Schizosaccharomyces pombe: one gene and its partner. The gene in region 2 interacts genetically with the main gene of each other region. Each region holds a gene or a part of one and is shown on either strand. Other genes may lie near its edges. The genes, in order: abc2 and SPOM_SPAC29A4.02C.

Evidence for each region.
Region 1: mutations in SPOM_SPAC29A4.02C (region 2) and abc2 together harm fitness less than expected from each alone (positive genetic interaction), as found in Schizosaccharomyces pombe (one large-scale study listed by BioGRID).

Annotation. Positions count from the first base shown.
Region 1 is NC_003424.3:2,836,597-2,843,954, forward strand, and holds abc2 (vacuolar phytochelatin and glutathione S-conjugate ABC family transmembrane transporter Abc2), read right to left. Parts: upstream 5,193-7,358; 5' UTR 5,109-5,192; coding exon 672-5,108; 3' UTR 525-671; downstream 1-524. Other genes in the region: SPOM_SPAC3F10.12C (transcription factor), read right to left, coding at 5,721-6,326. UniProt on the Schizosaccharomyces pombe protein: Involved in vacuolar sequestration of glutathione S-conjugates. Together with abc4, required for accumulation of a red pigment (ade pigment) in the vacuole of a mutant affected in the adenine biosynthetic pathway.
Region 2 is NC_003424.3:5,141,619-5,146,095, reverse strand, and holds SPOM_SPAC29A4.02C (translation elongation factor EF-1 gamma subunit), read right to left. Parts: upstream 2,294-4,477; 5' UTR 2,279-2,293; coding exon 2,062-2,278; intron 1,964-2,061; exon of another isoform or gene 1,890-1,963; intron 1,769-1,889; coding exon 756-1,768; 3' UTR 581-755; downstream 1-580. Other genes in the region: pseudouridylate synthase Cbf5, read right to left, coding at 4,265-4,477. UniProt on the Schizosaccharomyces pombe protein: Probably plays a role in anchoring the complex to other cellular components.

The DNA of each region.
Region 1 (7,358 bases), 2.3 Mb from region 2:
TATAAATCGTGTTTGTATCCTTTGAGAAAAGGACATCAAAAGGAATTCGCGATTTTCTCTTAAACTTTAATACAGTGCTTATCATTGATTTTAACTACATAATAATAGAGTTTCATTTCATTCTATAATGAGATAACTATAGTAGGTTACGAAAAAAAAAGTAGCCAAATTAAATCTGATGAAGTGAATATTGGCATAAAAAGAAGGAAAAAATCGGTAACAACTCTTCCTAACTTTTTTTTCTAAAATCAACGGATAAATGATATCAAAGCGGCAAAACGTTAGGCTCCAATATAAATGTCAAAAGGTGTAAGAAACAAAAAAGAAAGATTTTTTTAGGAAACTTTGCAGAACTTATATATCCTTTGAAAAGAAAAAATCTTCAATCATATATAGTTAATAAATCTTCCTTTTCAACAAAAGGTTATCTTGTAAGTGAGCAGCGTGCATGCTTTTTTCGAAACAGAGATATGCTGAATACAAGGGAAGAAAAAATATAACATGATTCGGATAAATTGTCTTTTAGCAAGTTGAGAAAAAATAGTATATAAATTACCAAGAAACCAGTAACTTGTAAATCTAACAAAATGAGAATTTGCTTAGGAATAACAGTTTCGGGATTTTCATAAAATTAATTAGAAGCATTTTAAATTAGCAAACGACCTGTGAACTCAAATAAGTCCACTCTCTTTTGCGAGGGAATAAAACAAAGATGCTTTATTTTCCAGCAGCTTTTTCGTTGAATCAAATTCGACTACCTTACCATGATCCAATACTAATATACGATTCGAATCCATCACAGTATTAATACGGTGAGCAATGGTCAAAATGGTACGATCGTTAAAGCGTTCACGAATTGTGCGTTGCACAATAGCATCTGTTTCAACATCAACAGCTGCAGTAGCTTCATCTAATAATAATACGCGTGTGGGTGTCAATAATGCCCTTGTCAAGCACATCAGCTGGCGTTGGCCTGACGAAAGATTGGCTCCTCCTTCTGTAACACGGGAATACAACCCGCCGTCAAGAGTCTGGATGAATTGTTTTAAGGAAGCAGCTTCGAGAGCATGCCAAATCTCTTCATCGGTAGCATTAGCATTAGGATCGAGATTCTCACGAATTGTACCTTCGAAAGCTTGATTTTCTTGTGGGATAATAGCAAGTCTGGAGCGTAAATCGTGTAATCCAATCGAAGTAATATTGATATCATCCAATTGTATGTCTCCTGATGTTGGCTCAATTAATCTAAACAATGCAAGCGTCAAAGTCGACTTTCCTGCTCCTGTACGACCGACAATACCAATCTTTTCTTGTGGTTTAATGTTAACACTTATATCGTTTAGGACTAGTGGAAGATTTTCACGATATCTGACACTGTAGTGATCAAATTTAATTGCACCATGGGAAGGCCATCCTTCTGGAGGACGATGATCTGGAATAATGGAGGGTGCCTCACTTGGAAGACCAATGTATTCCAGCATTCGTTCGACTGAAACAATGTTTGTTTCTACATCAACAGACTGTCTTACGACAAAGGTTAAACTTTGGGTAATCTGTACGGCATAAGACAACGAAAGACCCACTAAACCAGAATTAGGATTTCCACGGACTGCGGAGAGAACTCCAAAAAATGCAGATGAAAATACCACCAAAGCGCCTATTGCTTCAACACGAATTGCCTGCCATCTATTTGAACTGAAGTACAAGAACCAAATTCGGTGATTGGTATCAACACGAATATCGTTCTCCGAGATAAATGTATCTTCCATGTCATAAGCACGAATAGTTGACAACCCACCCAAAGACTCTTGGAAATGAGCATATAAAGGACTGCGAGTAACGCTATCAAGCCTTTTTAGCTCTCGAGAAGTTTGAGTATAATAAACTTGATTGTAACGATACAGAAAGAATAATGGAACAATTAGGATCATAAACATAGGAGAAGAATAGCAAATAACTGCTAGTACGAAAACTATTTGAAAGAGATTTCTGAAGAAAAACATAAAAACTCTAGAAATAACTTCGTCCACACGGTAAACATCGCTGGAAAATCGGTTTAATATTCGACCAGTTGGCGTGGTTTCAAAAAAGCTCATGGGAGCACGCAAAACCGCCTTTACCATTGAATCATGTAGATAACGACAGCTTTTAATAGCACAAAACACGGTAATGGTTAAGCTGCTAAGAGAAATCAATGCACAAGAAAGAAGACCAAACAATGTGTATATACCCAAGTAAAAGTATGGTTTAGGATTATAACCTAATTGTGTATTTACCTCACTCCAATGTTTAAGCCAAACATTAGTACCAACATTCATACCAATACCACCAATAATGAAAAGGAAATACAAGAAGATTAAAAACAAAGAGCACGCTTTAAAGTACGTCCAGTATACTTTCCACTTTACCTTACCACGTTCCATTTTCTCAGCAGCTTGTCCAGTAGCTTTGACATTGTCCTCGTCGGTTAACCTTTTACGGATCCTACCTGTTCCTTTTATGGTGGCCTTTGGATAATTGCTAACTGTGTCAGAAGAACGGCTAGCTGAACTCGTGACATCGGTAGAAGAAGTAATTACAGATTGAGAACGGGAGAGAGGAGTATCGGCTCCAGTAGATGATGCGGTATCCTTCTTGCTAAATTCCGAAAGTAATTGAAACAATTGGGAGTCTGGCGAAGAAGATAATTGAGTGAAGCTTCCACTCTCTATTATTTTACCATTTCTTAACATATAAATCATGCTGGCTTCTTTTAAAACGGTTAAGGAGTTAGTTGAAAGAATAACGCATCGTGATCTGAGTAAACCTTTTGAACCTAAAAGATTCCTAACTAAATCTCTATTAACATGCTGGTCAACAGCAGATAAAATGTCATCAAGAAGATAAATATCTGAGCGAGAATAAACAGCACGAGCAAGAGAAATACGTGCCTTCTGACCTCCAGATAAAGATATACCTTTCTCGCCAACTTCCGTTTGATCTCCATCAGCAAGTATCTCAAAATCACGCAACAAACAACAAGCACGAATGGTTTTTTCATAAAACTCAGGATCCAGTTCAAGGCCAAAGAGGATATTCTCCTGAATAGTAGCATTCAAAATCCAGGGTTGCTGAGCTGCATACGCGATGGAACCACAGCGGAACACGGAGCCAGAATGCTTCTGCATGTTGCCCAAACAAGCTTCAAGCAAAGATGATTTACCCATTCCAACTTTACCAACTATGCAACATAGCTCACCCCTTCTAGCCACAAAATCAATATCACGTAAAGTAGGTTCTGCGGCATTTTGTCCAGGACCGGACCAACTAAATGTACCCTTTTTAATTTCTAAACAAACTCCGGATGGTTCTTTGTTAGCTGGGTAGCGTTGAACAGCGTTGGAGTCCAATTCACCTGCAGTGAGAAACCCATAGATACGAGAAATAGCAACAGATGCCTCTAAAACTGAACTGACAACAATAGGCAACATGGTTAACGGAAATTGTAACAAATTGAAAAGACTCAAACAAGCAAAGACTATATCAACTGAAAGCACACGTGTCTTTCCATACAGAACAATGAAAGTACCAAACGTTGCGGCTGATACAAGAATAGGAGCAAAAAGCCAGGTAAAGTTGCCAATAGTGTTGACAATTCCAATCTTTTTCAACATGCGCAATTCTCTGGTATTCCTTAACTGCAGCAATTTTTGAAGGAATATGTTTTCCCAAGCATACAACTTAATGCTGCGAATATTGTTAATAATTTCAGTCATAAACTGAGAACGTGCGTCTTTATTTTTCATTTGTCTATTTTGAAACCTTTTAAAGATACTTGCAATCACAACATTACAAGGAAATAGTAAGAATGTCACAAAAGCCCCAGAGAGCGCACCGTATCCTACAAGATGGTACAAATTTGTGAGAGCTAGTACAATTTGGAAAGGACCCGATACAATAACAAACAAAAACATAGTTAAATCACAAACTTTTTGAGTGTCGACAGACATGTAATTTACGATATCTCCAACAGATCGACTTTGACGAGCCGCACTTGAGAGACGTAAGGATTTGCGATAGATAGCAGTAATCAATTCGGACCTCCATCTCATGCCAAGTACCATGCCAAGTTGGAAATATTGTTGTAACAATGCGGTTTGTACGACGTTGGTTAAAAACATAGCGATTGCAAGACTGAAACCTACTTGAGGAGGTTGTGGATGCTCAGAAGAATAGGAGCTAACAAAAATAACAATCTTCCTAATTAAATTTGGCTGAATAAACGCTACAACGTCTTGCACCAACTTCAAAACGATAATAACAACGGTAAGCTTCCAATGGTTTAAAAACAAAACACCCCACATGTAAAGACTACTTTTTTTCTTTTTTGCATGGGAAATCCAATTCTTTTCAAAAACAATAGTCAGATTGCTGGAACGTTCGGCAGGAGGAAGAGACCAAGCATCTGATTCAGTAAGATAATTTCTGTAACCAAACTTCATAAGAGGGCTAAGCCAACCAAATGATATCCTTGAAAAAATGTTGGCATAGGTAAACCGAGATGGTCTTAATCCAGTCTCTTCCAACTCAGCTGCATCATCGGGATACCAAACTCGGTTGGCAGGAGGCACGTAGATTTCAGCTAGAAGGCATACCAATGAGCAAAAAAAAGTAATGGAGGGAACTACGTTAAGCATAGGGAACATTGTATAATTAGGACGAAGTAATAAAACCAGAGCCGAGGCTAAAAACTTAAAAAGCCAAAACATCAACAAAGAGGCCATAGGTATTCGCAACGTAGGCTGCTCCACAACATGCAAAAACAAAGCAAGAAAATAAGTTATAATGCTTAATACATTCCATACACTTTCATTCGTTTTATAACAGTCATAAATATGGGTGAAAAGGAGAACCATAATAACTAAAGACTTCAGCCATATTGTCCAAAATCTTCGAAAATGAAAATAATGAGACCTTTTTCTAACCTCATAGAAGTACTGCAGACATCCACTGATAAGAAGGTAAATGTTTGGAGCAAGCCAAGTTGCCGATAGAAATGTGAATCCTTTGTAAGCAGAATTCATCCAATTTCCACCTACAAAAGGATCTAAATCCTGTTCAAGAACCATTTTGATAATACAGTATTAAACTGATTCAAATTCCCTGAAACAGTTATTTCCTGCGAATGTAACAAAACCTGAAGAGTGTTGGCTGAAGATAAGTGGCTTACAAAGTATAAATTTGTGGTGGTATGAATGAACATGTTCGTAATACATTTCGATTCAGTAACTAACAACAAAATATTACTAAATTTTTATGAGCAACTAGATATATTAATGGAATCCCTTAATATATTTTAATCTATCTAATGAGTTTATAATTTCATCGTTGAATTGACTAACCTTTCACAAAACGAATCTACATATTAAATATGGTTTTGACAGTTATGATTTTTAATCTAATGATATTCACTGTAAACAAATGTTTCTTAAACCTTTAAAAACAAGTTTTACAGTCATGGTAACTTCAAAGCAATTTCTAATCAGATTAAATTCAGATTCTAAATTACTATGCAATGTAAGTTGAAAATAAAATATGTATATAAGTTAAAAGTATTGTAAACCATATAGTTAGACTATAAACGTGGACCTCAAGGGAAAGTAGGATCAAAGTAAATGGAAATATATAAAAAAATGCAAAAAATGATAGGGAAATAATTGCATTAGAAAAGGAGAGTTATTTTACGATTCACTATTCTCTTCTACATCAAGTTCTGAATCAAAACTCCTAGCAGCTTGCTTCCAAAGCTCAACACTGCGCCATGCACGTTCGCATTCCGATTTTAACCGTGCGTTCTCCCTAGCTAGTTCTTGAATAGTATGATCAGCAACAAGTTTCTCCAAATTTGATTTTTCACGACACATTTCCTCCATTTCTTTAAGGGATCGAATATATTGAGCAGTCCTTTGAAGGATACTACCTTTATTTTTCTCACATCCAGGAACGATGTTCGCCAACTCTTTAATTCCCTCACTTATGGCTTCTCTTCTTCTACGCTCTACTTCTTTGTGACTTAATCTTTTAGCTTTATACCATTCCTCGCTTCCAACACATGGTTTTTCCATAGTCGTATTACCACTAGAAGCTACCGTTGAAGTCGTGGAATTTTTATGGGCTGTATTTTTCTTGGGAAAATCAATCTTTTCAGAGGGATAAGGATTATAACTAACGGCATGAGCATAAAAATCGTTATAAACTATGTCATTAGTAAAACCTGTGAGTTGTTCGACTTGTCCTGGTCCTGATAAAGGAGGAAGCAGATGATTTATGGACATATCTCTTTGCATTTTCTAGCCGAATTTATTATCTCATAAAACAAAGAAAATTTCTATAATAGAAATGAATTTTTTACAAGCATGAAGATAATGTAATGATTGAAGTGTTACCGCTGATGAATCCAGCCAATGTATTTGAACACTTTCGTAGTAAACCAGCAATGTAATGATAAGGGAGAATGAACAGTCTAGTAAAGAGATGAAAACACAAGGTAGTTTATGAGTACATATAGTAGCTTGACAAGAGTATCTTGATAAATGGGATTCTAAGGATAAATAGATAAAAGGTTTCTGAAGACTGGAAGTTTAAAAAAATTCCAAAACGTTAGATATGTAAAACAGGAATAAAAAAAATAAATATAGAATAAACGATGATTGTGCTTAAAGGCTGTCCAAAATTAAAGCGTTGATTTTCGCATCAACTCAAATTAAAAAAATTAAAACGAACTGCTATCAGTCGCAAAGGGTGAAACAGGTGTTCAATTAGTTCAAAGAACTTTTTCCTGTTCTTTCTAATGGAATGTTTAAAAATAATGTTGCAAAATGATAGTGGTAATCAAAGGCACTTCACGGATCCCTAACATTGACAAGCGTGATAAAATATTGCACTCTTAATTACCAAACTTAAAAGAAGAGTAGCAAATGTATTTTAAAAAGCACTTAAATGTTCAAATAGCTCAAAAAAGCAATTCACATCAAACTTTTAACATGAAGCGAGGTTCATTGTTGATAAAACACGTCTGTAAACCGCGTTGATATTACTAAGTAGAATCACTTAAGGAAGGGCTACGCTGCCCTCGTTTAATTAAAAACAACGCATTTACCAAACCTACTTTATTTTTATTTAGTGTCAGCTACGCAGTTTGATATCTATTTAACGATATGCAAAACTGCGTTGAGTTTTCCTTCTGACTACTATATTGCAACACACAGGTAATATTTGTAGCATCTGAGTTAGGTATTCTATTATGTAGGTTATATTTGTTATCTATCACTAATGTAATTTATAACTGAACCTCGTTTCTCATTTCATCTATGTCCCTT
Region 2 (4,477 bases):
TACCTCATGTTGATGTAAACGTCGATTTCTCATATTCAATCACTACGCTAAAAATTGCATCTTTTTGGGTGAATTATTTCACCGCTGATTGGAACGCTGTAGCCGCAAACTTCGTAAAAAGACAGGTTCATTGTGTAGCAGTGAGATCGTTATTTTTACGCAAAATCAATTCTTGTGCAAAGAAAAGAAATGAACTTCACTTGCATCGACTAGCTTGGTTTCATTTGCTTCACTTGTGCTCACCTTTGAGTTTGTAATTTTCACTTAGCCCATAACTTGATATTGGTCGGATTTGCAGATCAACTGCTTCTGTGCATGGTAGACGCTACATGTATCTAACCGACTGATATATTGATGCAGTTATGCTTTAGCTGGAAATATCAAGAACGACTGCAAATATTGCTGACGATGGGTGGTGCACTTTGCAATGCATGTACAAACAATCGCCTAGCCGTCTACTAAAATTCCAAGAACTGCTTTGGAAACGAATACTACTATGGTCAAACATACGTGGACTTTATTTACAATAAAGCGAGCTAACGATTTTTCACAAATAGCAAACCTTATACACATTTGAGAATTGAAAAAAAAGGGAGGAATTCAAAAAATAAGCAAACATACACAATGTCTACTCTTTTTGAAATGTAAAATCAATCATTTTCTAAGGCTAAAACAAACTCAATCTTGGAATTATCAATAAACAATAGGGATTGCCTTCCCAACAAACCTACCTTATCCATTTCACCCAAACATTTTTACTTGCAGACCTTGCCGTCAGCGACCTCACGTCCCTCAATAGGCTTGTCCCAGGCCCAAGCGTCTTCAATGAAAGCCTTGTCCTCGGGCTTGTTAATGTCGAGCTTGGTGAAGGTATAAGATCCCCAATCTGGAGCAACATCAAAAGCAGGAACATAGTCATGTCCCTTAATGACAAAAGCACCAGTAATGGTGTTGTCACCGTTCTCGCCAATAACTACGCAGCATCCAAAGATGTACTTACGAGAAGCTTCTAAACGTTGGAAGAAACCACCAATAAGATTGTTGGTCATGAAGACTGGTTGCTTCAAATCTTCGGGGTAGCTGTAATCAACCTTCCAAACGGAGTAGTTCTCGGGATCAAAGTGCTCAAAGAACCAAGGAAGAGCTCCACTACGAGTGTCTTGGTTACTGTAGACACGCTTGTACTCTTCGATGTCAAAAGATCCATTAGGAGCAGAAGCAAGGGGGTGCTTGGGGGGCTTAGCGGGAGCCTCGGCTTGAGGTTTGGGAGCATTCTTCTTCTTCTCATCCTTCTTCTTTTCGGCCTTCTTAGCAGGAGCAGCCTCCTTATTCTCAGCCTTTATAATAGGAAGAGGTTGGTCAATAAATTTAAGAGGTTCAGTAATGGCATCCAACTTAGCTTGGTGGTATATGGTTTGGTAATAACGATAAATATGGGTGTACTTGGCCAAATAAGACTTGGTAAGAACGTAGGTAGCACCGAACTTCAAGAAGCATGTAAAGAAGATATCAGCCAAAGTAAGACGAGAACCAACCAAGTAGGTCTTAGAAGCCAATTCCTCATCAAAACGGGCGAAAATCAAAGCAATGGCAGTTTCAGCTTCCTTAGCAGCTTGCTCATCATAGGGAGCGCCAAAGACACGGGGAGCAATTATAGGGCGAAAGGCGCCAGGGAGCTCACTGTTGGTAAAAGAACAGTATTGGAGGACTTTAGCCTTCTCTTCGGCAGTAGTACCGTTCAAAGCACGAGTCTTGTTGAGAGATGCCACTAAAATTGACAATTAGTAAAACAGGTCAATGATCAACAAAAGAAATTATTTCGTTATTCAAAAAATCTATTTGGATAAATTAATATCGTGGGCTTTTTCCTTTCTTCATATTAACAAGATTATTCAGATTTACCATTCTCAACACTATGCTTTAGACAGGGATAACTGTAAAAAAAAATAGTATCATCATACAAAGTTACAAAGTACCGTAACATTGACTACTCTCTGAAGAAGTTCGAAGCACCATACGATATTATCGTCAACATGGAGTTTACAGGATTTTGCTACTTACAGTAAAAAGCGATGGCAAGGGTCTCAGACAAAGGGAATCCATCCTTTCCAACAAAGACGGGCATCTTTTGCAAAGGGAACTTCGCAGCGAGATCAGCAGGGAAGTTGTGAGGTTGAACATCAACATGTTCGACCTCGACACCTGCGACTGCGGCAACGCTGACACAGAAAAGGACGCGAGGAGAGCCAATTTTTCCGTAAACGGTTCCTACAGACATAGCTACTAAGATGTTGGGAGAGAAAGAATTGTAAAGGGCCTGAAATTTTATGTACAAATAACGAGCTCAAATTGGACAAAAAATGTTGTTGTCCTGGCAACCCGATTGTTCTGGTTAACAAACTAAACACTAGAAAAGTAAATAAGAACAATACATAAATAAATATGAAAAAGGGGCTCTACTTTTCAATGAAACGACTAGAAGAAATCAGAAATGCATTGTGTCACCTTAAAATTCTTTCCTTAATTATTCTGGTTAGCAGGTTCTGTTTTGAGATTTTATATGTTTAATCCAGATCTAATGCTTGAAGAAGCGTGCATATACAAAATTTCATGGCAAAGGGTAGATCAACATTATTCTGAAATATACTGTAAAAAGTTGTAAAAAAATTGTATTAATGACATTAGAGTAGTAACTCATAAGTTTTTTCCTCGCTGTGTAGTAGAAGACGAAATGACCGAAACTCGTATAACTTGCATTCTTATATAAGAATATCAGATTTTATGCTGAACTTTTGAAATGACTGACAGATAAGTGTAACTTTTGTATAAAAAAGATAGATTAATTCGTACATCTGTAAAAACAAAGATAAATTAACGCTTGACCCATGTGTATTTCTTCCTTGCTTTAGGTTGACCTGTTTTCTTACGTTCGACTTTCCGTTTGTCATTCAAAACACAGTGCGTGTCTTTAATGACCTGCTTCAACGAAGGCTCTTGAAGTATGAGAGACTTCGAGATAGCAGCGTGAACAGCACCAGACTGTCCAGTTGGGCCGCCTCCATGGACTGTAGCCCAAACATTGTAATTTGTTAAGCGATTGCAGGCCGCAAGTGGATAAACAGCGTGTTTTCGATGAACCATTCTTTGAAAGTAGACATCAAATGGACTCCCATTCACATAAAATTTTCCGGTTCCCGGAAGCATCTTTACAGTAGCTTTGCTCGATTTCCTTTTTCCTTTGGTAATACTCATTCCATTTTCATCAAGCATTTGGCTTTTTAATGTGGTTTTCACGACAATGTCTGGGCGAATAAACTTCTCAAGCGCTTTTTGCACTGCTTCAGTACGATACTCAGGAACAATTTCGTTTAATTCATTAAGTAAACGAGTAATTTTTCGATAGCCAACTTTAGTTGTTTTGGGATCAGAAAACTCTTTTTGATACTGCTCTAACGTTTTCCACTTTACTTCGGAACGTCTTCCTCAGCAGCTATGATTTTAGGTGCAAACTTAAGGATGTTTTCCAAATGCAAATAGATTTCATTAAACCTAGCGTTTTGCGTAAAATAAGAGGGATTATCAGGAATATAATGGATATTTCGAATCAACGGTACACTTTTGATATTTTTATGCGAAGATAATCCCAACGAACTGGCAAAGCATCTTAACTTTGCCAGTGACCTAAACATTGCAAACGATCAACGGAATAGCTGAACTTAGCCAAATCCAATGGCTTCGAGATGGTCGTCCACGAGAATCTGTGTGGCATTATAGTGCCTTCGTACCTAACATACTATAACGAGGAATAAGCTCAGATACACATATTACCAATCTAAGTACATTAATTTGATCAAATATATACATACTAAAATACTAAAAGGAAAACAGTATAAACATATTCTTTTCAAAGAAAAGATAATATTATTATCCAAATGCCGAAGACAATGCGCTTTCTATCGGAAACAAAGTGAATTGCTAAATATCAAACAATCATGCTTAATTCTAAGGAAACTGCGGATGTGCATTGTAATTGTCATTAGGGCTATAGCGATAAATTATTTAAGTTTTCACAAGCTAATATCCAAAACAACAAGTCAAAAAAGCAAAAGGTTGAAACTTCGCTTTCTTTCTTAACCCTCAAACGGTATCTCAAAAACTTATAGGATCTCGGAATAAGGGATTTTGTGCTTAAAACCCTTTATAACAAACCCAAACTGTAAAATGACCAAATTCAGTAGAAGAAACGAACGATATTTAGGGCATTTTACTCAGACTTCTTCTTCTTCTCCTTTTTTTCTTTTTTCTCCTTCTTTTCCTTCTTCTCCTTCTTAGCTTCCTTTTTCCGCCGTTTTTCCTCTTTCTTAGCAGCTTCATCCTCATCCTTCTCAGATGATTCTACCGATTTGCGCTTCTTGCTGTCTTCGACTCCATTGACTTCAGCTTCAACAGTAGGTGCTGCAGGCGCAACAACTGGAGC